Mus musculus: one gene and its partners. The main gene of each other region encodes a partner of the protein of the gene in region 3 in a complex. Links are inferred from orthologs where the notes say so. Each region holds a gene or a part of one and is shown on either strand. Other genes may lie near its edges. The genes, in order: Snip1, Snrnp40, Cwc27, Snrpd3, Plrg1, Crnkl1 and Sf3b2.

Region 1 (4,152 bases), on a different chromosome or scaffold from region 3:
CCACAACACCTGCCTCTTTCGAGATGTTACTAAGGAATCTAGAAGGTAACTCTACAGTTAGAGCACTTTCTGTTCTTCCAGAGGAGCTGGGTCAGTTGCTAGAACCCATGAGGTGGCTTGCAGCCAGCCTTAACTCAAGTTCTGGAGACTCTGGTACTCTTTTCTGGACCCTGTGGGCACCAGACATACACAGTGCATACACATACATGCAGGGGCGGGGAAAGCACTCATACACATGCAAAAAAATACTATTTTTAAAAGATTTTTATCACACACACACACACTCTCGAACATTTACATAGAGATGGAGACGAAAGAACCAGAACAGCTAAAAGGAAAAAAAGAAAAAGAGGAGGGTGGTGTGGAGAGATGGCGCAACAGACAAGAGCATTGGCTACTTTTTCCAGAGGACCTGGGTTCAATTCCTAGCACCCACATGGCAGCTCATATGCAGCAAAGAGGACATTCAGTTTGAGACTTACTATGCAAGTGCAGTAATCGAGTCTGCATGGATAGACATATACCTGACTGAGTTTCAATGTGGGAGTAAAATAATTCAATGGAGACAACCAATGTCCTTTGAAAAACTGGTCCTAGCCGGGCGTGGTGGCACACGCCTTTAATCCCAGCACTCGGGAGCAGAGGCAGGCGGATTTCTGAGTTCGAGACCAGCCTGGTCTACAAAGTAAGTTCCAGGACAGCCAGGGCTACACAGAGAAACCCTGTCTCAAAAAAAAAAAAAAAAAAAAGAAAGAAAAAGAAAAACTGGTCCTACAGCACATGGGCACTCACAGACCCAACGTGACCCATCTGTGCTGGTTTCAACAGCACCAAGGACAATCTTCTAACCTAAAGACCCTGGGCTTAAGTGTGCATCCAGAACAATAGAAAGAGAGAAGCGGCCAGCCAGGAGGTAAGGAAGGATAAAGGCGGAGAAGTATCAGACATCATGAGGCACCTTGATGGTGGTGAAACGTCTGTGTCCTGACCACGACACTGTCCAGCTGTGCGAGAAGTTGCCATTGAGAGAAACATGGATATGTACATCTCTCCGTATTATTTCTGACAAGAGTTATCAGAATCAAATCAACAATTGTCTCCAAACGTTAAAATTTCAGGAAAAACAGCCCCAAATACATATCCCATTTTTAGAAAAGCCCACTGCAGTGACAAGGAAGCATGTCCACACCTGGCTGCCAACCTCTTGGGGTTCAGCAACAGCTCTGGGCTGGAGCTTTCCACCCATGGTCCCTGCCCACTCACTCACTCACTCACTCACCTGCTTCACTTTGACCATGGGGTAGTGGGGACTCTGGCTTCTCTTGGTCCGTGGTGACTTGCTTCTTCTCCCAGAGGACTTGCTTTTCTTCTTGGCTGGGGACCTTTACAGAGAATGGTACACAGGATTTTTTACCTCAAAGTTCCTTCCCGAAAGTAAGTTAGCTTCCAGGATCAGGCTCACCTACTAAACACAACACATCTGTGAGATCAGTAGCCACAGCAGGCCTTCACTTCCCATAAACACTTCTCCCAACCACATACACAATGGCCTGCTAAGCCTTCTCACCTAGACAACCTTATTCTCCAACCCCAACGCCTCAGAAACCTTTCTTCTCCGGATGCGCCATCCTACTATCTGGCACTACTATCCAGGAAGCCAATCTAGCCTGGTTTTTTCCCTAACACAACTCCCTTCTCCAACAACCAAAACCAATCCCTTGGCAGGTCTCAGGGCCCTGCCCTGTCCTCCATCCCACATCCTTCCTACCAGCCTACAATGCTGCTCCATCTCTCAATTCCAGATATGCTGGCTGTTTTGTTTTTGTTTTTGTTGCTGCTGTTGTTCAACTTCTAAAACAAACAGAATTCCAGCTCAGGTTCTATGTATATATTTTTCTGTCATAATCGTGCACGCGCCGTGTTTGTGTGTATACACTCAGAAACCTCCTGTCTCAGCATCCCCTCTGCTGGGTTACAAGCATGCCCGACCACAGTGGGTTGGTCCTTCCTGGAGTCTTTGCTAAAAGACTCTTGACTCAAGAGAATGGATCAATCCTACCAGCCAGGTCTCCGTTAAGGAGCACCTCTGTACAAGCCCTCTCTTTTTTCTACCCAGCCTCTCGCTACCACACTGCCGTTTTGATCTGTCTTTAATACTGACTGAAATTATCTATTTGTTGTTTTCCTTCTTCGAGTTAGAGCCTGCCCAACTTCGCCAAGGAAAAAGCATCTCTCTTCTTTGCCTTGTGACCCAGTACCTCCAATTGATCTTTAACCCACACTACGCACTCAATAAATCGATGCCACATGGAGGCATTGGCGAATGAGTGCTGCGAAGAAGTCGCCAAGACCCAACGTGTCTTTGTAGGCAGACGAGGGGAGAAGCCACTCGCACCATCCACTCGCGGGCAGGCGGGGGAAATCTCATTTCAACTCAACAGGTGCTCTGCACTCCAGAGCCGCTCGCACCACCGGCCCCCGCGCCATCCCGTCCTCCGCCCAATCACCGGCTCGCTTACCGGGCTCGGCTCCCGCGGTGACCCGAGTGGCCAGGCTCGGCGGCGGGCGGGGACAGGCTAGCGGCTGGAGCGTCGGGCCGGCGGTGCGCGACGGGTTCGGGGCTCAGACGCTCCTGTTTCACCACCACGGTCGTCAGAGCGTCGCCTGACCGGTGTCGCCGCCGGCCGCTCCGCTCCCGCTCGCTTTTCCCCGCCTTCATCCTGCGGCCCGACCGAGAGTCACTTGCACGGTCCGTTGAGCCACTTGAGCCGTAGGAAGTGACGGACAGCTTTGCACTTCCGCTTCCGGGCAGCGCGCTATCCCAGAAGCCTTCACGGTGTCGGCCCCCCTGATGGGCGGGGCCCCAGGTGTTTGAGTCTCAGACGCTGGGGACGCCGGCGCGAGTGGCCACGGGGTCCCCGCTGCTGGGAGGTGTGGCTGGAGTACTGAAAAGGCAGGGCCAACCCCCCGGGAGGCTGAAGCAGGAGGATCGCAGTAATTTCGAGGCCAACCTGGGCAATTTAGTGAAACTGTCTCAAAATCTGAAAAAGTTGTAGCTCGGATAGATCGCAAAGCTCTGAATTCATCCTCAGCACCGCCAAATAGAAATCAAGAGTTAAAAGGGGAGGGAAGGCTGAGATTGTAGCTTAGTTACCGAGCGAGCGTTTGCCTCGCGAGTACGAAGCCCTGGATTAGTCCCCAGAACCTCAAAAAAATATATATGACAATCTCCCCCCCCCCCCGTCATAGTCAGGTTTTCAGTGTACCCTGGCTGTTCTAGAAGTCACTCTATAACCAGGCTGACCTTGAACTCTGCCTCCCTCTGACTCCCAAATGCTGTCATTAAGGTGTGTGGTACCATCGCCCAGCTTTTTTTTTTTTTTTTTTTTTTTTTTTTTGAAAAAAGAAAAAAACCTGTGGGAAAGCTAACCCAGCTCTGTTCCTTGCGCGTTATTAGTAGTTACGAAACACAGACACTCAACAATGTGAAACTCTTTTTTGTTTCTTGAAATAGTGTCTCTATATAGCCTTGGCTGTCCTGGAATCCACAAAGATCTGCCAGCCTCTGGCTTCCAAATGCCAATCGTCGCCAAATACTCTATAGAGTCACTAGATGACTTCCGTTTTAATCAAAGGTGGTCTGTCCATTTCATCATAAACCGAAACAGACCTAACGCTAGGGGTCCAGTCTTCTTTACTAAGAAACTTAGTGCTTGCGGAGAAAGCACAGTAGAACAAAACTTGCACGCGGCCGGCACCGCCTTCCTCAGAGGCCCCGCCCCATCCATGGGGCAAGGAGAGGAGGGGTTTCCATGGTGATCGCAAACAAGACTCCACAGGGGCCGCTACGGAGTTGTTACCCCTACTGCCACCATGATACCCCCAGCAGACTCTCTGCTCAAATATGACACCCCGGTGTTGGTGAGCCGGAATACAGAGAAACGGAGCCCCACGGTATGAACAGGCGTCTCAGGGGACGCGAGATCCTACAAACTCCCATGGGGAAAAGACATCCCAGCTTTGAGGATCTCTGGAATTTCAGGGGACAGATTGCTGGGGCTGACAGCCAAGGGAATTGGGACAGGGATGGAGGTTGGGAGAAGAGAACAAGAAGCCTAGCTATGACCTTAGAGGACAAATTTAAGATGAGAA
Region 2 (3,500 bases), on a different chromosome or scaffold from region 3:
GCAGGCAGAGTGCTATACACACGGTTTAAGAGATGTTAATGCTTATGTAGATAGTGGCTCACATCTGTAGTCTATAGTGCTAGCCTAGGGAGGCTAGGGCAAGAGGATCACAAGCTTGAGAGCAGCCTGGACAACATAATAAGACCTTATCTCCAAAAGAAAACAAAAAAACTGGTAAGTAACCCGAGATGGCTCAGTGACCAGCACTGGCTGTCCTTCCAGAGGACCCAGGTTGACTTCTCAGCACCCACATGGTAGCTCTCGACTGTCTATAACTCCCATTCCAGGGGATCCGACTCCCTCACACAGACATGCGTGTAGGTAAAACTATTGGATATAAAATAAAAATAAATAAACTACAGATAACCAGAGTGTAGGACAGTTTCCACCCCCAAAAAGTTTACATTGTGCCATGTCCCATCCTAACGTCTATCAGCCATTGTGTCTGTCCTGTACTTCCTTCCCATATACGGAGTGTATGAGTGTGTACCTTTGCGGTGACTGGCTTCTTTTTAGTTAAGCTACAAGAATTTGATTCTCCTATCTACACCACAAGGACAGGCAGGCAGGCAGAACCATCTCGTGTTAATGACGTCTTCTGAGTACAAACATAACTGCTGCTGCTGCTGGTCTATGAACCTTGTTTAGTATAGGTCTGAGGTCTGTCAGGTCCTTGTGTAGGAGTTTCCTATCATCTCGGAAGACAGCACGTTACACCTTCTTGTAGGGCAGGTTCTTTGCAGAGAGTAAGTCCTAGCCATTGAATGTTGATATATGCCAGTTTTGCTTTGAAATTTGAACTTATCTCAAATATGAGGAATGTACAAATATAGTCCAAGAATATTGCCTTTAAATTTAGCTCTGTATTCTAGAGTATCCTTCCTGTGTTTCTGGAAAGCATCCTGATTCTCATAGCCATGCAGTCTTATCTTTCTAAGCTAAGTCTTCTGGCTTGGGGTTCACAGTAAATCTGTACCTCTGACTGGCCTTGAACTCCTAGATAGTTCTTGGCCTCTGCTTCTTGATCCTGAGATTAAAGGTGTGCACCACCACACCCAACTTGTTTTGTTTGTCTGGGAGGTAGGTTCTGACACTTGCATCTTCCTACCCGCGCCTTCTGAGTGCTAGTGTTACAGGCATACATTTAAACACTCTCAGTGGGTTTGTGTGTGCGTGCATGTGTATATACATCCTCCGGAGGCAGAAGAGGGTGTCTGATCCCTTGGAGCTAAGTTATCTTGTGGCTTCTAGCCCCCCATTGTATATCCTGGGAAATGCATTGGGGTGCTGTGGAACAGTGCCTGCTTTTAACCGCTGCACCCTCCAGCCCCACTATTCAGATTTCTTACATCATACATGCATTACCCAACTCCTTTCTGAAAAAAAGTAACTGCCTTCATTTAGGGGATGTCGGTTATTTTATTCATTTAGAAAAATTATATGGCAGTATTAAATGAAGTTTTTTGTAATACCAATGACCTTCACAAAATTGCTCATCTTTTTTCTTGTGACATCCAGGCTATTTTTGTTAGTGTTAATGTTTATTTTTTACATATTTGCTTAATCGTCTATTATGTAAATATTTTTATATTTTGGCTTTAGAGTTATTTTTAGGAAATGCTCAATAATATTTAGAGCCTGCCATGTCCCAGGCATATTACAGGCATTCTTATTTATAATCTTTAGAATGGAAGAGCACTTGCCTAGTCTGCCTGAGCCCCTAGGTTCAATCTCTAGCACCACAAAACATATAAAAGACAGACAGACATGTACAGAAGATGTAGATGCTGTTGAGGCTGAGATGTGATTCACTGGTGGTGCACAGAACCCTGGACTTGAACCTCAGCTATAACAAACAGCAAAGGACAGGCACCTAACATATTCTGTGTCTGTCTGCAGAGGAAGCCCAGAAGGGTTCTTTGCATAAATATGCTTTTTCTTTTCTTTTCTACATGTATGTGTGCATATACACATGTGTATGCACCGCTTCTATATTCATATATGTGACATAAGATGGAAAATCTTACACAGTGTTTTCCAGTTTCTTGTTTACATTATATAATAATTTTGGGCATTGTGTTCATTTTGTCTCATTGTCAGTTTTCCTGGGTGTCCCTGGTTGGCCTGGAGCTCGCCGCAGTTCTGCCTGTTTCCCAGGGGATGCTCCTGAATACGCCACTGTGCCAGCCTTGCGCACTTTTATTAGTATGAGGTTTTTTTAATTTTGTTTTAAAACAAAAGTGCATTATATAGTTCAGAGTATCTTTTTTTTTTTTTTTGATCCTTCTGCCTCTCCCCACAAGGGATGCTCTTGACTTGGAGTGGGGGTGAAATGGTCTCATGGCCAAGTTAGTCTGGAACTCTGTGGTGTTCAAACTGACTTCAAAGTCCTCCTTCATCTGTTTCCTGAGTGCTGGAATGAGACATAAATCACTAAGCCTGCCATCTGATTTTATGTAGGTTTTTTCTCATTTCTTAGATTTTTAAATTTTAAATGATGTATATGAATGTTTTGCCTCTGTGTGTGTGCGTGTGTGTGCGCGCGCGAGCGTCAAGTACCAGAAGAGGCCACTGGATCCCCCTTGGAATGATAATTACAGACAGTGACCCGCTATGTCATTGGTGGAAACCAAACCCAGATCCTACACAAGAGCAGCAAACATCCTGACCCTCCGAGCCACCAAAGGTGTCTGCCACCATACCTGGCCTTTCTCTGCTGTTTTTCAGTTTGAATCCTGAATGAAGTTTTGCATTTTTTACAGGTCTGGGACCTACGCCAAAACAAGTTAACCTACACCATGAGAGGCCATGCAGACTCTGTAACTGGCCTGAGCTTGAGTTCTGAAGGCTCTTATCTCCTGTCCAATGCAATGGACAACACAGGTAACTTTGGACAACAGCTCTTCTGGGGCCTTTAACATTAATGGTGTGTGTTGGGAAGTGGTGCTGCTGCTCAGCTAGTTAAGCTACCGGTCATCAAACGTGATTGCTTGAGTTTGAGCCTTGCCTCTGCTCCCAAGTGCTGGGATTAAAGGCGTGCTCAACCACGTCCCGCCCAACGAGTCTTCTTAAGCACCAGGCTGGCTCTGTAGCCCCAGGCCTTTATTTTTGTTTTTGTTTTTTAACTTTTTTTTTCCCCAAGATTTATTTATTTTATGTATATGAGTATACTGTAGCTGTCTTCAGACACACCAGAACAAGGCATCGGATCCCATTGCAGATAGTTTTGAGCCATCATGTGGTTGCTGGGAATTGAACTCAGGACCTCTAGAAGAACAGTCATTGCTTTTAACCCCTAAGCCATCTCTCCAGCCCAGAACCTTTTTTTAGCTAAAAAAAATTGGTTGCCATATTTAAACTTTGATGGATATGACTAATCTGTCATATCTGAGAAATCATTTGGGAATTATTTCTTTGACATTGGGTTTTTTAAGATCCAGGCAGACCTTAAAGTCAAATTTACATTGAACATCTTGCCTCACTCCCCACCGCCCAAAAAT
Region 3 (4,233 bases):
CCCCCCCCCCCGAATTCTAGGAGAGCAAGGGTTTCTACCATGCTGACTGCCACACACTCAATAAATGTAGTCACCTCTCTTTTCACAGCTCCTGGAGTGCTCCTCTGCAGAAGTTAGGAAGCAGCCCCACCCCGCAACAGTAATCTCTAGAATAAAGTTCAGAAAAGGCTGCCACGGAACAAAGACAGGGGTCAAACAGTAGCGGGAAGGGGCAGTGTTAAGCAAAGTTGGGGCTTCACAAATAGTTTGAGGGTCTTTCCTACAGTACTATGCACTGTGAATCTCCGAGATGCGAGGCGGGTATATCTCTTAAAAACACCTGCTTGATAATAGGGTTTTACAGAAACACATTCTGACAAAGTCGGCTTGGGGAAGTTCTTAGCGGCTCCCCAGTAAACTGGAGCAACAAAAACATCCCCGGAGCTCAGTTTGCCGTTTCTAGGTTAGAAACCTCTGAACACAAAAGTGGAACCTACAAAGAATCTTAGATCTAATTCGAGAAAGCACTGTCTTGAAACTGATAGGGAAACTGAGGCCCGGAAGGGCACAGCAGCGGGCCTGCAGCCACATAGAAATTACAGGCTGGAAGTGCTAGAACAAGCCTCAGGTGCTCTTCTTGGCGACTTTCAGTATAATGTGTATAGCCACCTGGATTCGGCAAAATGCTCACATTTCGAATTTTATTTTGAAATCGTGTGAAAGTTACAGTCTTCTGGGCAAGTTGTCCCCTTAGGCCTACAGTTCTCATTGTCACCAAGTCCCTTGTCCCTCTTACAATACACTTTCCCTCTAATCCTGTGCAGTTTGGGCTTGTCCAAGAATGACAGAGATGATCTTTCCCTATCTTTCTCACCCCGCTTTGAACTTGTAGTATAAGCTTTTTCATGTAAGCCGACCAAATCTAAATTTTTAGGCCTTCGCCTGATTCCCCAAGTGCTCGCTGCCACCCACCCCCGTGCTCTGGGCTTCCCTGCTCGTCTCATTCCTCTGGAGTGAGAGAGCCCTGCGGTTGACCTTCACCTGGGACTGCCATGATGCAAGGTGAGTGGGATCGTCGGAGTCCTGGGCTTTCGAGATCACGTTAGGTTCAGGTCCGTTGCGAGGACAGCGCATTCCCAAAGGGATCTCTCCCACCCGGCCACTACAACTTCACCGGGCAGGGGAAGGCCCGATGCACATCTAGGGTTGGCGGAACTAAGTGGCTGTGGATGCAGTTTCCAGGGGTGTCCTACCGCGGAGCACACGCGGTCGGAACCATTTCGGCCCGCTTCGGGAGGTGAGTGCTATCTGCAATCGCCTGACCTGGACGCAGCCCCGGGATTTACGGATTGGCCCTTTAGCTCGTATTATAAACCTCGCTACAAATTCTCTAAAGTTGTAGAGGTCCTATAGTCTTTTCTAGTTTCCTGAAGGACAGGGAAGTCCCCCCTCCCGGGGTTAGCGGTGCTCCGGTCCGGGAGCAACATGGCGGCGTCCATGATGGGCTAGTTTGGGGAGTAACTAGTGATTAGTACGGCTGTCTTGTCCGACTCTGACCGAGTGAAGTTTTCCCCCAAATACTCAGGTTAAAGAATTGTGTGCTAACAGGTGGGCCTCGCCGGAGACCCGCCATTCGCTTGCGGCCACACTAAGGAGCGGAGTCCTGAGCACTGAGCAAGATGAGTAACATCTACATCCAGGAGCCGCCCACTAATGGGAAGGTGAGAGCCTTACCTCCTGGACACGGTGACTGGGGGCGGGCAGGGAGGGGCAGCTATCGGGGATTTTAGAGGTGGAAAGACCAAAGGACTCTTCTCCACACCCTGCATATGGCCAGTGTTGCATTTATATTCTTTACGGTGACGTGTCTCAGCATATTTTTGAAAGAGTTCTTGGGCAACCTCCCTATTCGCTAGTCTTCTGACCCCTTAACTTCCTTGATCCAACTCACGTGAGCGCCTTCTAGTGTCTATTGTTTTTAAGACTTATCTCAAGATTGTACACTTTTGCTTGTTGTTTAACTTGGAGATCGTGCATTCTCTACAGTCATTATTGAAGGCCTCTTTGGCACCACGCACTCTACTAGGTGCTGATGATACAAAGGTTGGTATTCTACCTTTATATGTGTGTCTGTATTATAGACACACACACACACACACACACACACACACACACACACACGTATATATATACTAATTCCCTATCTCAGGATTACAGACGTGCATGAACACACCTGCCTTTGCTTGGGAGGTATTGAAGAAGAGATTATATTGCCATGACAGTGATGGAGGGAAAACAGGAAATGATGGGGAAAACATCTTGGAGGAGATATCTTTTGAGATAATTGTCAGTTAGAAGCAGGGGAGGAGTGAGGAATGTTATTTCATAGGAATGGGAGTAGATTCCCTGATAGATTTCATGCTGAGCTATATATTTCTAGAGGACAATATTAATTTTAATGAATAAATGCGTGTAGAGATGAAATAGACTGACCATTCCACAATGCAGAACCTTCACGCTTCATTTCTCTAGTTTGCTATTTTACCTGTTCAAATGTAACAAAGAAGCCTATCAAATAGCAGATCTCAGTGATGCCCTGGGTCTCAGCAATTACCCAGTATTTAACAGTATCTTACCTTGGTTTCTTTCCTATATAGAATGCAAACACTATAGAGTTGAAGATGAGCATCTAGAGCAGTGGTTCTCAACCTGTGGCTCATGACCCCTTGGGTTGAATAACCCATTTACAGGGGTCGAATATCAGATACCCCGCATATTAGATATTTATATTAGGATTCATAACAGCAAGATTACAGTTATAAAATAGCTGGAAATAGTTTTACGGTTGAGGGTAAATACAACATGAGGAACTGTATTACAGGGTCACAGGATTAGGAAGGTTGAGAACCACTGGCCTAGAACATTGCTTTACGTAGAGTTCGTACACTACGAAAGAATAGCTAGGCACATGACTTAATGCTGTTTCTTTAGCTTCTGAGAGGTATTAAGCATAGGTGAGGGTGGAGTTAAACTGTTATTCCTCATGGGCACATTTAGTTGTTTGACTCTAATGACTTCTTTTTTAAGAACTAAAACAGGGTTTCATATGAGTCCTTAGCTGTGCTGGAAACAGTTGTTTACTGTAGGAAATGATTTGATATATCCACAGAGTAAAAGCACTTCTGAACAGGAGCTCATTCATACAACAAGTATTTTTAAAACTTTGTGTGTGTGTGTGTGTGTGTGTGTGTGTGTGTATGTGTGTCTATGTCTGTTTGTGTCTGTGTCTTGTTCCATGCTGGTCCCACTGCACACATTCGAAGGTTCAGAGAATAACTTTAGTTGATGGCCCTTATCTTCTCTCAGCTTAATTAAAGGCAGCGTCTTTTTGTTGTGTGATGCTGCCTGTGCCAGCCTCGCTGGCTTGTGAGCTTCTGGAGAACCTCTTGTCTCCTTGGCTCACCATAGAGCACTGGGATTAAAGACACATGTTACAGAACTCACATTTTAAAAAAGAATGAAAGAAAAAAGAAATCACACAAAGTCCAGGTACTTGTCGGTAATTTTTTAATGTTATGATCTAAGTTTTAATTGTTAGTTACATGGTACCTAGATTAACTAAGCCTGCTTTCACAAATGTCATTTTAAAGATAGCAGTAATAATGTAGAAACTTGGCCAGGAGTAGTGGTGCTTATCTTAATCACAGCATCTGGCAGGCAGAGACAGGTAGATCTCTGAGTACAGGGCCACCCTGGTCTACAAAGCAAGTTCCAGGGCAGCCAGGATTATACAAAGAAACCCTGTTTTGAAAACAAACAAATGTAACAACTTGGTAGGTGTGGCCATACACTCCTTTAATACCAGTACTCCAAGGCAGAGGAAGATGGATCTCTGTGTGTTCAAGGTCAGGCTGGTCTACAAAGCCCCATTGAGACCCTGTTTCAAAAAAAACAAACAAACAAACAAACAAACAAAAATACCAACCAAAAAATCAAAAAACCAAACCAAAACAAACAACAACAACAACAACAAAAAACAATGTAAGAAAAAAAAAATGGTAGCATTGAAGCATAGAAAGCGTGAGAAATCTGTCAAGTCGAAGTTAGGAAGGTTGTTGGGAATACATGTTTCCATTTATTATTGGTAAAATGAGCTTTGTATTAAATATTTGTTCTGTCTTGAAATATTTGTCATTAAGATTATAAAGCCATTGTTTATGCTCTACTGAGGTTTTACAACCATTTTAAGCCTAA
Region 4 (4,152 bases), on a different chromosome or scaffold from region 3:
ACAAAAAGCGCTGAGAAAAAGATGTTCCCTTTGCTGGGTGCTCCCAGGCCATTCTTTTCCCCCTCTTTCCCGCCCCTTTGCTGAGAGCTCTCAAGCCATTCTTTCCCCCTCTTTCTCGGCCTCAGGCTTTCCACAGTTCCCCGGGGAATAGGATCACCCAACGTGCTTCAAGCAGGGCTATTCGATTCTGGACAAGGTTGTGCCTTTTTGCCCCTTGGACTTTTCCACTTGACGGCTCTCAGCACTCCCTGGGCTTCAAGCCCCAGGAGACTCAGGAACGACCCTAAGTGGAGGACAGGAGATGAGAAGGAATATCCACCTAGCTAGGACCCACTAGAAGCTCCAGGCTGGGCTGAGGCCGCAGACGACCCAAGGTCGCGCGCGGCCAGACCCTGCCCGGCTCTAGGGCGGAGTCCCCCTCCGTTCCCCCGGTTGAAGGCAAGGCCCTGAAGAGAGGCACTGACCGGGCTCGAGCGGCTGCCCCGCTGCCTCTGCCTCCGTCCTCATGACCCGGATGGCGCAGGGCGCCCATGGCCCCGGCCTGGAGCTGATTGCAGCGGCGACTTCTGCTGGGCAGCGAGCGCGGCCAGTGAGCGCAGAGTTCCTCCTCCTCCGCCTCCGCCGCCGCCGCCGCCACCGCGGTTCAGAGCCGGGTAGGCGGTGGCTAGGCCGCCTCAAGCCACGCCTAATCCCTTCCAGGTCTGGGCGCTGGAAACCCGCCCCTTCCATAAGCCACGCCTCTTCCCTTCCACCCCCACTTCTCCTTCCAGAACCCGCTACCCGTAGGTCCTTCCCTGAAACGCTCCGGGGGCCCCTCCCCCTCCCCGAGCCCCGCCCCTCCCCGAGCCCCGCCCCCAAAGCCCTTCCCCTAGCGACGTGGGCTCCCCACGCTCTCCCTCCGCTAGGTCTGTTCTTCTGCAGCCTCAGATGGAAGCTCTGGTTCTCCGCAGTGCCTTATCGAGACTCCAGGGAACACTTTCCCGACTCCTTTTAGGTCTTCTTACCCAGACAAGGAATAATGAGAGTTCCCAGGGCTCAGTGCGTCCCTTACCTGCCGGTGGCCGGATCCAAAGCTTAAATCTCTAGTCCAAGCCTCACTTCCTGTCTCCCCAGAGCACTGGGCTCAAGCCCAGATCCCGCCCAATCCGCCACTACAGTACTCAGGGTTACCATGTTCCCTTGTTGGGCTCCAGGATTGGTGTTTCCGGCGGTCCCCCGGGCCCTCTCCGGTGCCGGAACTATTGTGCTAGAGCCCTGGTTTCCCCAGCCGGCTAAGTGAGAGTGAAGGGCAAGTAGGCTTAAAGGAAAGGGAGGGGCCTGCGCAAGGCATTCTGGGAGCGCGTGGTATTCGTGAGAGTCGGGCCGGTCGTTCTCTCGCCTTCGCCTTCTAACGTTTGTGCCAGAACCGGAAAAAAAATAAAGCCTGCAGTTAATTGGTGAGGAGAGGCGGCTAACGGGAGAGAGGAGGCCAGGGCTTCCCCAGGGGGTTTAGGAGCTGGAAGGGCCGCTGCGGAGGAGCTCAGCGGGGCTTGCTTAGCGGAGGGCGGGAAGCCAGGGCCTATCCAAAGCTCATCTCCCGAACCCTTGAACAGTTATTAATTTACGCCTAGTCTGCACGTTCGGTGCCTTCTCAGGTCACCGATTTCCGAAGCTTACGGGCAGTCATTTCTTGCTAATTACCTCCTTTCCTTTTGGATCATCATTTACAACGTCCCTTTCATCCCTGCCTCCACTCCCATTCCTGCAGTGGCCCTCTTTTCCACGCTGCTGCAGAAGTTTAATCAAGTTGCCGTGCTATATGTTCGATCCACTTTGTAGATGCTACTCTTTTTTTTTTGAACCTTTGGCTATCATCCTGCAGTGTTTCCCTACCATTTTCAGCATGGAAACCCACACTCCTAAAGTTGAAAGCCGTGGTTCCTCACCGAGAGAGAGAGACTGTGTTTAGCATCCTTACAGTCTTCTCATGCAAATAAATGGTGTGCTCCGGTTTTGAGTCGTTTCCAATCTCAGCATTTTAAAAGCCCTGTGCATAGTCTTTGTCTTGTAGTGAGACTTAAAGTCGAGCGTTTACCCTATTTCTCTGCTTGATGAACATTTCCTATTTATAGCACCGTAGCCTTGACAGTTTTGGTCTGCTTTTTGGTGGGGATTCAAAACGCTGGATTGAAAAGCGCAAGCTCTTTTTCCTAGCTTCCTTGGGGCTCAGGTCTATATGTACTATTAGGTTCTGTAGCCTTTATCCAAATGTGGTGGCTGACTACTTGGGATATTTCTGGTGTGACTGAAAGACTGAGTTTGCTTTTATTTGCATTTTATTTAACTCCATGTAAACAGTGATTTGTTTACACTCCGGGTCTATATCATAGCCCTTTTAGTGACTATAAAGGGTCATATGGCTGGGATGAGAATGGGGGTAGTACTCTTTGTTCCCATTACTTTTCATTGTCCAGCTTACCATCCTTCCCTACCCTACGTGTTGCGCTAATTTGCTGTGGTGGTTCCTTGAGGCCAAGAGCCACACTCCTTCCACAGGAAACGCAGCTCTTGACATCATTTACAAAGCCCATGGCGTGCCAGTCCTTAAGCTCTGAAAGATGACCATCGTCTCTCTTTCCCTGTAGCCCGGGAAGAGTCCTGCCAAGATGTCTATTGGTGTGCCGATTAAAGTCTTGCACGAGGCTGAAGGCCACATAGTGACGTGTGAGACCAACACCGGGGAAGTATACCGAGGGAAGCTCATTGAAGCAGAGGACAACATGAACTGTCAGGTATCCTGCTTGGCACCAGGGCTGGGAAAGGGCTGTGGCTTCTATCCTGTGGGTAGAGCGGTGTACTTGGAGGTCTTAATGAAGTTATTCTCATCAAACAGTTATTAACTAAGTACTTATTACCTGTCAAGCACTCTTACAGGCTCTAAGATTTTATGTCAGTATAGACTTAGCCTTGAGGCAGAAAAGTCATTTGACAGCCTGTGGTTGTACGTGTGTATCCGAGCACTTGAGAGGCTGAGGTAGATTCTCGAGTTCAAGGCCAGTCTGGGCTTTATAGCAAGACCACACTGCTTTTGGTAGGGAGTCAGAATGCTGAATTGAAAGCACAATCTCTTTTCCTAGATTTCTCTGGGGTTAGGTCTATATTTACTGTCAGGTAGCCTTTAGCCAAATACAGTTGCTAAGTACTTGTCTATAAAACAACCAGTTAAGTTTCACTTTTCTGTCTCAGAGTCGGTCAGGTTCAGAGCCAGTGTCTGCTTCCCAGCACAGTGTATAATTTGCAGGATCTTCTACTCACGTATTGTGTGTGCTTACTTTTGTCTTGGAGAAAGTTTCATCTGATAAAACTGCCAAAGTTTTGGCATATGGTTTGGGGGTTTTCCCCATTAATTAAGAACTTGAGCTTTGGAATCAGAGAATTCCCTGATTCCAAATTGAGTTGGGCCATAATGATAGGACCTTGGGTATCCTGGTCACTTGTTCTCCCCTGAATAAAATGAGGATGGAGTTGTTTTGGATCCTCTGTGCTGTAAATGCCAACCCAGAATTAGATACACCAGAGACTTTGGGGAGGTGGCGTGAAGGACGCCAGTGACCGAGCAGGATTGCGGAAGTGATTGGTTACTTTGCTTGTTGCTGTGATCAAATTCCTGACCAAAGCAACTTAAGGAAGGGGGAGTTTATTTCGACTCACAGTGTGATGAGACAGTCTGATGCAGAAGAAGTCATGGTGGCAAGAACTTGAGGAGGGTACTAACTAGTCACATTGAATCTGCAGTCAGGAAGCAGAGATGAGTGCCAGGACTTAGCCCAGTTTCTACTTTTCACCTCCACCTAACCTAGACAATCCCTCGCAGACACGCCTGTCCCTTCAGTAATTCTAAATCCATCAAGTCGGTAATATTAATCATCGTAGCAGGAGGGTCTTCAGTCCAGGAAAGGAAGGCAGAGTGAGCAAAAGGAGCCTCAGGCTACAACATGGTGCTGAGGAAGTTTCACCCAAGTAAGAGGAGTAACTGGAGCCAGTAATGGACTGGCTCTGATGTTTCTGCTGTGGTCAGTCCCTGGCAGCCTGCTGGAAGGGCTGTCGCAGCGTGAATGCCCTGGCAGGTCCCCCAGAGTGGCAGCTGGAGGGTGCCAACCTGTTGTCTCCTGA
Region 5 (3,500 bases), on a different chromosome or scaffold from region 3:
TCAGGGATCTGACAACTTCTTCTGGCCTTCATCGGCACCAGACACACATGTTGTACACAAATGTACATGCAGGCAAAACACACCTATACATGTAAAATAAAAACCAAAACTAAAACAAACAAACAAACAAAAAAAACCCAGTCAAAATAGTGTTAGGAACAACAATCCTCAACATGCCTGAATTCTTTATATTTACCGTTTACTTCTAAAACTATAAACTGTTTATTTCAGAAATAAAACACAGGTGAGGGACATGGGAGCAGTTTATTGTAAAATACAAAGCAGCAATGTTTTCTGCAAGTGAGCTTTCATGAAAGACCGGATATCCTCATCAACACCAAGCACGAACAGGACAGCCATGAAGACACTAAAATCGCTTTCTCTTGATAATTTCTGGTTTCCAGCTGACTGGGTGAGTTTCTTCTGTCTAAAATCAGAACAGTAAACAAAGTGTGATTTTATTAGTTTGTTTCCTTTCAATGAAAAGATCTGTCTCTGCTAAATCATAGTACTTGCTTGGCAGGACGTGCTGAGTGGCTCTTGAAAAATTTTAGAAACAGCTGACAAACTTCTGGCATTATCCAAGTTTGACCAGGGATACATGGGTTCGGTTGGATTTCCATTTAGCTATTACAGCAACCCCAGCGCTCTACCTCTACCCTCCTTCCCTCAGCAGTCTCCTGTTTGCCACGATTAATGTATCATTTCCTTCCCAGGAACTGTACTGAGGCAGAACTGTACTTAAAACGTAATGCTTTATCACTGATGTGTCTGCATCAATGAAACCACACAGAAGCCCTGAGCAGGTCAGATCACTATCCAGAGGATGAAACTGATGGTACTATAGTGAGTCTGTTTCTTTTTGTACTCAAATGAGCAGTCCTTGTCAAATTGACATGCAATTCTTTTACTTTAAAATGCATGTGAAAGCTGGGTGTGCTGGCTCATGCCCAAAATCCCAGCATCGGAGAAGCAGAGGCAGGAAGACAGTTTCAAGTTTAAAATCAACTTGAGCTACAAAGTGAGTTCCAGGCCAGCCAGAGGTACCATGTGATACCTTGTCTCTAAATATAAAATATAAAATTAAATTAAACTAAAAAGGAAGGAAGATAGGAAGACAGACAGACAGACAGAGATGGACACTAAGAACTTACCGCAGTCTCATCCTCTCTGTAAACTTTAATGGTTTTATCAGCTTCAGCCGTTAGTAACCGACTTTCTGACCGATCGAAAGCACAAGCAAATATTCCTGACTCACTGTCCAAAGACCCAGGCTGTACAGCTGCATGGACGCGCTGAAAATTATAGCCAGTTCTCCAGTCCCAAAGGTGCATGGTGCCATTGTCAGCTGCAAGGGAAACACACAGCTCTACTTCTATCCCCTCAACAGCTCAGATGACCCAGGAGCTGAACATTACACCAGCAACACACACACACACACACACACACACACACACACACACACACACTCACACACACACACTATCTCTTTCCCTCCCTCCCTCCCTCTCTCTCTAATTCCCTCTAAGTCTCTAATTTATAGACACCATAACATTTAAAATCCAACCAAACATCAGGCAGTTCCTAGCGTAAATCCCTACCTTCATCACATGGGAATGCAAAGATGTCTAAACTATGCAACATGCTGCATGGAACACCACTGAGCACGACGGCAGGCACATTACAAACAGGCACATACACCCTAGTAGGTGTGTCACTACAACAGTGTGATGCTTTAGATACTAACTCACTCACATCAACAGAAGGGCACACTCAACACACCATAGAAACCTTGTGTTACCTCCAGACACAAGCACTCCATCAGCATTGACCGCCAGCGTGTTAATGATTGCATTGTGACCAGAGAGATTTTGAATGAAGCCTCCATCGGGGAATTTCCACTGCTTTATGTTATCTGGAGAACCAGACGCAAATGTGTAACTAGAACAAAGATTGACAGGAATTAATGGGAAAGTACACTGTATCAAAGAAAACTCGCAGCTTTGAAAAAGCTCTGTGTGCTCACTGCTCCAGACAGCCTCAGTAAAATGTAACTTCACCACAGTACAAACTCATCACTATCCTCGCTCCAAGTTCCACCAGCCTTGTCCAGCTGCTGAGATGTACTACTTTAGATCCCAGAGCAGTGTTTTGTTTTCTTTAGTGTGTTACACACTAATTAGCCCAACAAATGTGCACACACACAGGGCAAAAAAAATCTTGAAAGGGAAGGAAAGAGAGGGATGACAAGAGAAAAGGAAGGAAAGGAAGGGAAGGGGACAAGAAAGGGAAGGCGCAGGGAGCAGTGGGGGAGGGTTGGGGGATGTGTGTGGGATGAGCTGAGTCAGGAGTGGCCTGCCTTCTCTGGGAACCGCAGTGCTGATGTCTCTCCCTCCATTTCCTGCACACTTACTTCTCCCTTAGGAATCTAACTCTGCTCTGTCTCTGACAGGACACCATATGTGAAACAATCTGGACAGGTCAAAGTGGGTCCAGTACCCTGTATGTCCAGACACGACTCCCGCCTACTCTGACATTCAGCTTTAACCACAACTTGGCCTTATTTGTCACTCTGTAGAGGGGCTATGGCCTTCATTCCACAGAGCACGAGGCAACAGCAGCAGATGGGAACTGAAAGGCCGTCCTAAGCAGCACAGGCAGAGGTACAGCAGGCCCCCCTGGCCTCAGCGTCACTGAGACGCGGAGAAAGGCAAGCTATCAGCACAGCACACTTACAGTAGCGGATGTAAGACCACAGCCCTCACTGATTTCTTATGGTTCGTCAGTGTCACTCGTGTCTTTCCAGCCACTAGATCCCATAATCGTATTGTGGTATCGTGACTTCCTGTAGTGAAAAGACAGAGACCGGACAGAATCCACAAGTTAAAACCCATTAAACACAATGTACTTGTCTGTGTGTGTGTGTATGTGTGTGTGTGTGTGTGTGTACACTAAATGAAAGTCCTATCACTGTGAATCATTTCCTCAAAATCCTAAAACTGTAGTTATTCTATATTTAGTTCTTTTTAACTTTTTGCCAGAGGCGGTAGAGAGTGGCTAAGTATAAAGAGCAAATAAAAACAAATATGTAATTTTAAACTCCAATGGCAGGGAAGGGGAAAAAATGAATCTTTTTATTTTAAAATCTGTAGTTAGCAAAACAAACCAACTGAAAGAATGACTTTCCAGTCACAGTTAAGATCCAATGTCATTCAAGTAAGATTCATACTAGAATGATAGGTTACAATGCCTAACCTTTTTATGTAATGATACATAAAAAACACAAGATAAAAATATAAACAAACAAACAAAAAACCCTAGAAAACACCTTGCAATCCTAAATTTCAAATGCCCATGATTAAAATCCAAAGAGAAACTAGAACGCGAGTCGGTCGGAGGTGGAGGTGCTTGCGGCGGCTGCAGAATGGCCGGCCGTGCCTCTGGTACGGCTCAGGGGGAGCAGCAGATCGTACCTGTAATGATCTGTGGCTCTGCAGCCT
Region 6 (4,294 bases), on a different chromosome or scaffold from region 3:
GCCAACAGGAAGTGACGGCCACCCACAATTTTTATCTTGACAACAGATTTCAGGAGAACATTTCTATTTTTGAAACAATTATTTTGAAACAATATTAAATTAACACAGGAAACAGATAAAACACTGTTCTTTAGTGACAGGAGTACGAGAGCAGCAAGACTCATATGTAGACCCTCCCGAGACACTCCACAACCGTCCTTCCCAGTACCCACTGCCTCAGAGGGCTCCATGGAAGAGAAGCTGGAAATTACTAGCACAGTACAGGTCCATGCTTTACCTTCCTAGATTTCATGTGCTCATTTACTCACTCTTTGTAGACAGACACTATAGTCATGGCAATTTTACCTTTGAATTTCCTTTAGACTTTCCTCCCATTGTGCGTATTTTATCCAGTTGCTAATCACAGTCCTATTTTTTCTTATGTTATCTTCAAAAGTCTGAAAGGCAAAGGGGGGCGGGGAGCAGTACAGTAAAGAGAAAACGACTTTGCTTTTCCTTATGATATACACTTCTCGTTTTACTCTTCCTAAAAGAAATTATATCCTAGATGCCAAGGAACAGCAGCTTTCCTCCAGAAGGGTATCAGTGACAGGTGTTTCTCTAAAGTTTATGGAGACAAGAAAAATGTAGGGGTAGCTATTGCAAGATTTTGCTGTTCTCTGTAATAATTAACGAGTACTTTAATATATTCTACTCTCATTCCTTTTAAGAACAAGAATGTTAAAACACCTTTCAAGATTACCTTCAAGTGCTCAGTAATTTATAGAACTTCCCATATAACTTCCATAATATTCGTGGATTAAATAATTCCCAATATTCGCCTGAGGTCCCATCACATAGGCTCTCTGGGAGCTCGTTCCCACTGTGGGCAGCAACTGGGACAGGTTGCACAGTGCATTCTGACGGACTCACCTTCCTTTTCCGGAGTTTGTAATCGTTTAATTCTTCCTCATCTGTGATCTTCTGCTGAGGTGGAGGTGGGAGGAGCTCGAGTTCTCTCTCTTTAGCTTCTCGGAGGAGCTGCTCGGCCGTTATCTGCACTTCGGCCGGCGCCTTGTTCTTCACCTTTTAAGACAAAGAGACATTCCTATTTTGGGTAGTGCTCTCCACACGAGATTTTAAAACCCTTGTATATTTTCCAGGACATAAACTTCCTAAGAATGGCAGGGTGGTGGCACACACCTTTAATCCCAGCACTTGGGAGGCAGAACCAGGTGGATTTCTGAGTTCAAGGCCAGGCTGGTCTACAGAGTGAGTTCCAGGACAGCCAGGGCTACACAGAGAAACCCTGTCTCGAAAGAAAAAGCCCTCCTAAGAATGTGCCCAAGATGCCATCTTTGAATAACATCTTCAATTCTCCATGAGGGGCAGGGGGAAAAAAAAATCACACTCCTTCCTCTTTATAACCTGCTTAGAGAACTCCTCTACATATTTTAATCCTTCTAGTGGACAAGCTGGTTTTCCATGACATTTTAGGCCAACTGAAACTTGTTTTTACTAAGTCTCCATCATTAGCCTGTAAGCTTTTAGAGCACCTGAAGCTATAGTTCCAACACAGGAGCTTAAAAGTCAAATGTGTTCAAGTGCAGATGGACCCTAAGTTCTAATTGGCCTTTTTACTGCTGTGATCGAACATCACCAACAAAAGCAACCTGCAGAGGAAAGAGCTGACTGATTGGCTTACACAACTGGACCACAGTCTTCATGAATGGAAGACACGGCAGGAAGCTGGAGGCATACCAGCTGTGCTCAGTCTGCTCTCACAGACTACACCAGAGCCCCTGCCCAGGTGTGGCACTGCCCAAGTAGGCGGGGGGGGGGGGGGCGTCCACATCAATTGGTAATCAAGAAAATGCCTCACACACTTGCCAGCAAGCAAGCTTAGGGACGAATTTTCTTAGTCCAGATGCCTCCTCCTAGATAACTTTATCTTGTGTCAAGCTGTCAAAAACTTAGTCAGCATGCATTCCCTGGCTTTTATGACTCAGGATAGGGGTTTGGGAGCGGGGGTAGGGGGGAAGCTACCACATCAGACTTTTACAATAATTACATGTGGAAATAAGAACTTGTCTCAAGACAAAATGGCCAAATCAGACTTCCAGAGAATGACTGTATGTGATGGCTAAGTGCAAGATTTGACACTTATTAAGTATTGATGAAGTATCAACCACAGTTGGAAATATAACAATTTACTATCTAACCTAAATTTTATGCCATTGCCCAGAGCCTATCCTCTGCCATTCTCTTCACTGCCTAACTTTGATGCAGCCTAAGTGTTAACTTCCTTCACAAAGTTTACCCTCAAGTTTACAGGCACCCTTCTGGCTCTTGCCCATGGCATATCTACACTACTTGGATACATCTATCTGGGTTGCCATTTCGCTCTCTCTCCAGTTTTAGTGGAGCACTCTTGCCCGGAGTAAAAGTAGGGGATCCCCAGAGACTAGCAAAGCAAACAGTTTACCGAACCGAACCGATGCTTTGCAACCCTGGAAGGAAGGCTGGGCAGACGCGAGACGAGCTCGGAGTGACAAGACCCTGCGCCACCTCACCGACCACCTGTCTTCTTGGACCGCGGCACAGAGATCGCTGTCTCGAATCTCTGGTGCCCGACACCGCAGATGCTGTTCGGGGGCTCCTCCCGGTCGCCTACCTTGGCCACTTTAGGAATGCGCTGTTTCCCGGCCGCCGTGGAGGCTGCCATGACTGCAGCCGTGGAACTCGAGCGATCCTGGCCGACAACCGGACTTGAGAAAAGCACTTCGAACCGGCCGGCACAACAGAGTCAGCCACAACAAACTAGATACCGGAACCGGAACCGGAACTTGCGAAGACGACCTTTGACCGCCTCACCAGTCAGGGGAAACGCCGCGTCGTTTCCTTAGCAACTGTGTGCGCGTCCTCTGTGGAGACTTGCGGCTTGCTGGAGCTGCGGGTGAGGTGGGTAGGGCGGGCTGCGCCGCAGGGATATAGGGCTCTGGCGGCGAGGGCTCATCCAGGTCTATCTCCGGGATGCGTGCAGCTGTAGGCCGTGGCACCTTTGAGGGGCGTAGAAATCCATTTCAGGTGTAGAAACTCCGGGGAGAAGGGAAAAGCACCGAGGAAACCCTGCAAGCAGCCTGGGCAGCGGTGCATTCTGGGATTTGTAGTCTTTCGAGTTCCCGCCCCCTCGCCTTAGGCTTCCCCGCGATTGGACCAAGTTAATAATCTTGAAATGTGGATTTTTTTAAAAAAAAAATCAGAAGAGGTATTTTTGAAACAAGATGTTAGAGAAAGGTGGAAATTAGTCAGTAGCAAAGCACCTACAGAAACTGATCAAATTTTTAGTCTGTAAATTTTTTTTTTTTTTTTTTTTTTTTTATTTTCCGAGACAGGGTTTCTCTGTATAGCCCTGGCTGTCCTGGAACTCACTCTGTAGACCAGGCTGGCCTCGAACTCAGAAATCCGCCTGCCTCTGCCTCCCAAGTGCTGGGATTAAAGGCGTGCGCCACCACGCCCGGCATGTAAATTTGTATTATCTCAATTCTCTTATCCTTAATATCCTTAGCTATAAAAGGATAAAAGTATCTATTTCCTTAAGATTAAAGAAAAAAATCTGTCTCTGTAAAATACTCGCTAGATGTTAGTACGTATAATATCTGAAGTACATTAAAAACAGTGATTTAGCATATAGTTAAGATAATTTTTTAAAATAAAAATTTTGGAATTGACAGCAAAATTGGGAAGGTGAGCTTTTCCTACTCTTTCCCCACCCTCAAAGGACTTTCTACGATCCATCCCCACCCCGTGTCAGTTACAAGAAACTGTTAGAGTTTACTTTTGTAACAGTCTTGAGATTTAGGACAACGGCAAGATTTTTTGTTTTGTTTTGGAGACAGGGTTTCTCGGTGTAGTCCTGATTCCCTGGTTGTCCGGGAACTCACTCTGTAGACCAGGCTGGCCTGGAACTGTCAACATCCTCAGGGTACCTCCTGTTCATCCTCCCCCTCGAGCCTTTGTCCATCAATACTCCTTTTTATCAAGCATTTTGTTTGTTTGTTTTTTAATTCCTTCTTTGAAAGTTTTGCGTCTTAATCATAGCCATTCCTCCAGCTTTCCCCAGATCTACCCCACTCCCTATTCACCCAACTGTGTGTCTTTTTGTTTTTTAACCTTTGAAGACTAATTCGTATTGCCCAGATATTCTTGGATATGTGGTCTACTGGAGCTTGGTCAACTTACCAGAATGTTATACTCTTAGAGAAAACTCATGCTTTCCAGCAGCTAAAAAATGACCAATTTCTCCACTGCCAGG
Region 7 (3,500 bases), on a different chromosome or scaffold from region 3:
TGCTGTTTATAAACCAGCATGAGGGAACTGGGAACTGAACGTGGGCACTCTGCAGGAGTAGAAGTGCTCCAAACAGCTGAGCTCTCTCTCCAGCCTTTCTTTGGGTTTTGGGAGGTAGAGTCGTGTTGCTCAAACTCAGGATCCTTCTGCAACATCCTGACCACTAGGGTTACAGGTTACAGATGTGCACAGTCATAGCTGACACAAGTAATCATTTTTTTTGTTTTTGTTTTGTTTTGGGAGACAGAGCCTCACTACGTGTAGCTCAGGCTGTCTTAGAACTTGCTTTGTAAACCAAGTTGGACCCAACCTCACAGAGATCAGCTCCTTAAGGTATGTACCACCAAGCTCAGCAAGTAACTTTTTATAGATCCGATGGGTTTTTTGTCTTCATGGATGTATGTGCACCGGTCAGAAGAGGCCATGCATCCCCAGGAAGAAGCAGAGTTAGAGGTGACTATGACCGCTCAGGTAGGCGCAGGGAACAGACCTGGGACCTCTGCAAGAGCAGCAAATGTCTTAACCACTGAGCAATCTCTCCAGCCTCAGTAACACACACACACACACACACACACACGTCTCTTGGTACAGAGAAACTTTGTTTCAGGACCCCACCCAAATACTGGAATCAGGATACTTAAGGCCTTCATAAAAAACAGGATTTACACAGACTCTATAAGTACTTTTGTATTTAAAGCCATCTGGAATGCCCACTACAATGCAAAGCTATGTGAATAATTCTGCTGAGGCTTAGGGGATGACAAGAAAGTCTGTTAATGTTGTAAATAGGTATTTTTTAATTATATGTATGTGTATGTGGGAGAATATGCAGGAGTGCAGTGCCTACAAGCCCAAAGAGGACGTAAGATCTCCTGGAGTTGCATGCAGCTGCAAGCCACCCGATGTGGATGCTGAACTTGGGTACTCTGCAAGAGCTACTTACAAATCTCTCCAGCCCAAATACAACATACTTGTTTTACTTTCCACTTAGTTATATGAAATGTGCTTAGCTATAGATCCACAATCTACTGAGGGCTCATTGTATTTACAAGTTTCTGAAGTGCTGAGAATATAGCCAAATGCCCCAGCTCAGGCTCAGTGTGTTCAGAGCTTTAAGTTCAAACCCAGTAGAAGAAATTTTTGTTTTAAGACTTTTAATAACTTACTATTTTTAGTTTGTTTTTTGTTTTTGTTTTCCACGCAGAGTTTCTCTATGTAGCCCTGGCTGTCCTGGAACTGGCTCTGTAGACCAGGCTGGCCTCCAACTAAAGAGATCTCCTTGCCTCTGCTTCCCAAGTGCTGGGATTAAAGACATATGCCACCACTGCCCAGCCAAGTTTATTATGTTATGTGTAGGGATTCTGCTACACATGTCAGTCATGTCCTCTGGAAGAGCAGCCAGGGCACTAAACCACCTTTCCAGCTCTGATTGTTTTCTTTTTTTAAAATTATAATATGTGTCTATGTCTGTGGGTATACATGAGAGGCCTTCGAAGCCAGAACATAGTGCTGGATTTTCTCTGGCTGCAGTTACACTGTGAGCCATCTAATATGGGTACTGGGAACCAAACGTGTGTCTTCTTGGAGAGCAGTTAAGTGTTCCTAACTACTGAGCCATCTCTCTAGGCTCTGGGTCTTTTCAAAACATTTTTTCAAGACAAGGTTTCTCTATGTAATAGCCCTGGCTGTCCTGGAACTTGCTTTGTAGGCCAGGCTGGTCTTGAACTCACAGAGATCCTTCTGCCTCCCAAGTTCTGGGACTAAAGGTGTTCATCACCTTGCCCAGCTTGCTTTTAGTCTTTCTAAGATAGGTTTTCAAGCCAGGAGATGGTGGTGTGTGCCTTTAATTCGAGAACTCAGCAGGCAGAGGCAGGTAGATTACTGAGTTCAAGGGCAGCCTGGCCACAGAGTAAGTTCCAGAACAGCCAGGGCTACAGAGAAACCCTGTCTTGAAAAACAAAAACAGGGCTCGAGAGATGGCTCAGCGGTTAAGAGCACTGACTGTTCTTCCAGAGGTCCTGAGTTCAAATTCCAGCAACCACATAATGGCTTACAACCATCTGTAATGAGATCTGATGCCCTCTTCTGCTGTGTCTGAAGACAGCTAAAGTATACTCACATAAATCAATCTTTAAAAAAAGAAAAAACAGAAAAAACAAAAGCAAACAACAATTAAGAAAAGGTTTAAGTGGCCCAGACATCTTTGAATTTACTATAAATTCTAGGACCACCTTTTCCCTTCTGCCGCTGCTTTGGCAGCAGAATTACAGGCACGTGCCACCACACAGAGATAAAGGAAACGTTTTAAGAACAACTTCTTTGCTCTGCCCTTCCACTCCAGGGTCTTACCGCGAGGCCCCAGAGGAGTACGGACACCCAGCTGCCCCATATCCTGAGGCGGCCGAGGGACTGCAGTGCCCATCTTGGCGATCTCCTGCTGCCGTTCCTGCTCCATTAACACAGCTGCCTACAAGAAAGAAGTGCGGACTCAGCTTGGAAAAGAATTTGGCGCATAGCCCTGACAAATGGGTTCCTTCGAAGGAGAATAACAGGGACACTGAGGTGGTCATCTTCCCCACACCTGTTTGCATGTTAACTAGAAACTTATCATGATGGAAAGTTCCTAAAAACAAATATGAAAAAGCCTAGGAAGTTTCTGGTTTCTGGAAGAGATTTCTACTTTTCAATGAGTTTTAATACACAAAAATGAAACCATTAGAAAGAACCATGAGACATTTTCTTAGAGCTTCCTCTATGTTTCCAGCACTTCCTCTATGTTTCCAGCACTTCCTCTGTTTCCAGCACTTCCTCTATGTTTCCAGCACTTCCTCTATGTTTCCAGCACTTCCTCTATGTTTCCATGTTGTGTTTGATGTTCCCTTTCCTTTCCTTTCCTTTCCTTTCCTTTCCTTTCCCCTTTCCCTTTCCCTTTCCTTTCCCTTTCCCTTTTCCCCTTTTCTCCCTTTTTTTCCCTTTTTCCCTTTTTTCCCCTTTTTTCCCTTTTTTTCCCCTTTCCCCTTTCCTTTCTTTTGGTTGTGTCAGACAGGGTTTCTCTGTGTAGTCCTGGCTGTCCTAGAACTTGCTCTGTAGAACAGGCTGGCCTTGAAATTACAGAGATCTGCCTGCCTCTGCCTCCCAAGTGCTGGGATGAAAGGCGTGCGCCACCACCAGCCAGCGGCTAATGCTTACTTTCTAATATTCTTGAGTCACCCACTGGGTAAAGCTGATGCGGGGAAGGACACCCCTACAGCATTCCTCAATCTGTACCATCATAGTTTAAATTCAACTCAAATGGTATGCCAGCATTCTCCACAAGCCACCTAAATAACACACATAAAACTAGCCGCAAAGGGCTGGAGAGATGGCTCAGCAGGTAAGAGCACTGACTGCTCTTCCAGAGGTCCTGAGTTCAATTCCCAGCAACCACATGGTGGCTCATGGCTATCCTTAATGGGATCTGATGCCCTCTTCTTCACATAAAATAAATGAACACATCTTTA

What was found.
Region 1: Cwc27 (region 3) and Snip1 share a complex: the UniProt entries of both Homo sapiens proteins name them as parts of the minor spliceosome. The link is inferred for Mus musculus from reciprocal best matches to the Homo sapiens genes CWC27 and SNIP1.
Region 2: Cwc27 (region 3) and Snrnp40 share a complex: the UniProt entries of both Homo sapiens proteins name them as parts of the minor spliceosome. The link is inferred for Mus musculus from reciprocal best matches to the Homo sapiens genes CWC27 and SNRNP40.
Region 4: Cwc27 (region 3) and Snrpd3 share a complex: the UniProt entries of both Homo sapiens proteins name them as parts of the minor spliceosome. The link is inferred for Mus musculus from reciprocal best matches to the Homo sapiens genes CWC27 and SNRPD3.
Region 5: Cwc27 (region 3) and Plrg1 share a complex: the UniProt entries of both Homo sapiens proteins name them as parts of the minor spliceosome. The link is inferred for Mus musculus from reciprocal best matches to the Homo sapiens genes CWC27 and PLRG1.
Region 6: Cwc27 (region 3) and Crnkl1 share a complex: the UniProt entries of both Homo sapiens proteins name them as parts of the minor spliceosome. The link is inferred for Mus musculus from reciprocal best matches to the Homo sapiens genes CWC27 and CRNKL1.
Region 7: Cwc27 (region 3) and Sf3b2 share a complex: the UniProt entries of both Homo sapiens proteins name them as parts of the minor spliceosome. The link is inferred for Mus musculus from reciprocal best matches to the Homo sapiens genes CWC27 and SF3B2.

Annotation. Positions count from the first base shown.
Region 1 is NC_000070.6:125,065,320-125,069,471, reverse strand, and holds the start of Snip1 (smad nuclear-interacting protein 1), read right to left. Parts: upstream 2,801-4,152; 5' UTR 2,720-2,800; coding exon 2,520-2,719; intron 1,466-2,519; exon of another isoform or gene 1,383-1,465; coding exon 1,280-1,382; intron 1-1,279. Other genes in the region: Dnali1 (axonemal dynein light intermediate polypeptide 1), read left to right, coding at 3,874-3,954. UniProt on the Homo sapiens protein: Required for pre-mRNA splicing as component of the spliceosome. As a component of the minor spliceosome, involved in the splicing of U12-type introns in pre-mRNAs. Down-regulates NF-kappa-B signaling by competing with RELA for CREBBP/EP300 binding.
Region 2 is NC_000070.6:130,380,632-130,384,131, forward strand, and holds part of Snrnp40 (U5 small nuclear ribonucleoprotein 40 kDa protein), read left to right. Parts: intron 1-2,762; coding exon 2,763-2,883; intron 2,884-3,500. UniProt on the Homo sapiens protein: Required for pre-mRNA splicing as component of the activated spliceosome. Component of the U5 small nuclear ribonucleoprotein (snRNP) complex and the U4/U6-U5 tri-snRNP complex, building blocks of the spliceosome.
Region 3 is NC_000079.6:104,814,154-104,818,386, reverse strand, and holds the start of Cwc27 (spliceosome-associated protein CWC27 homolog), read left to right. Parts: upstream 1-1,433; 5' UTR 1,434-1,658; coding exon 1,659-1,700; intron 1,701-4,233. Other genes in the region: protein SREK1IP1, read right to left, coding at 1,021-1,033. UniProt on the Homo sapiens protein: As part of the spliceosome, plays a role in pre-mRNA splicing. Probable inactive PPIase with no peptidyl-prolyl cis-trans isomerase activity. As a component of the minor spliceosome, involved in the splicing of U12-type introns in pre-mRNAs.
Region 4 is NC_000076.6:75,516,690-75,520,841, forward strand, and holds the start of Snrpd3 (small nuclear ribonucleoprotein Sm D3), read left to right. Parts: upstream 1-1,352; 5' UTR 1,353-1,436; intron 1,437-2,624; 5' UTR 2,625-2,645; coding exon 2,646-2,771; intron 2,772-4,152. Other genes in the region: protein GUCD1, read right to left, coding at 465-507. UniProt on the Homo sapiens protein: Plays a role in pre-mRNA splicing as a core component of the spliceosomal U1, U2, U4 and U5 small nuclear ribonucleoproteins (snRNPs), the building blocks of the spliceosome.
Region 5 is NC_000069.6:83,069,038-83,072,537, reverse strand, and holds the end of Plrg1 (pleiotropic regulator 1), read right to left. Parts: coding exon 3,474-3,500; intron 2,846-3,473; coding exon 2,737-2,845; intron 1,942-2,736; coding exon 1,802-1,941; intron 1,349-1,801; coding exon 1,155-1,348; intron 428-1,154; coding exon 368-427; 3' UTR 247-367; downstream 1-246. UniProt on the Homo sapiens protein: Involved in pre-mRNA splicing as component of the spliceosome. Component of the PRP19-CDC5L complex that forms an integral part of the spliceosome and is required for activating pre-mRNA splicing.
Region 6 is NC_000068.7:145,931,901-145,936,194, forward strand, and holds the start of Crnkl1 (crooked neck-like protein 1), read right to left. Parts: upstream 2,801-4,294; 5' UTR 2,705-2,800; coding exon 2,654-2,704; intron 1,066-2,653; coding exon 913-1,065; intron 438-912; coding exon 346-437; intron 1-345. UniProt on the Homo sapiens protein: Involved in pre-mRNA splicing process. As a component of the minor spliceosome, involved in the splicing of U12-type introns in pre-mRNAs.
Region 7 is NC_000085.6:5,288,956-5,292,455, forward strand, and holds part of Sf3b2 (splicing factor 3B subunit 2), read right to left. Parts: intron 2,468-3,500; coding exon 2,350-2,467; intron 1-2,349. UniProt on the Homo sapiens protein: Component of the 17S U2 SnRNP complex of the spliceosome, a large ribonucleoprotein complex that removes introns from transcribed pre-mRNAs.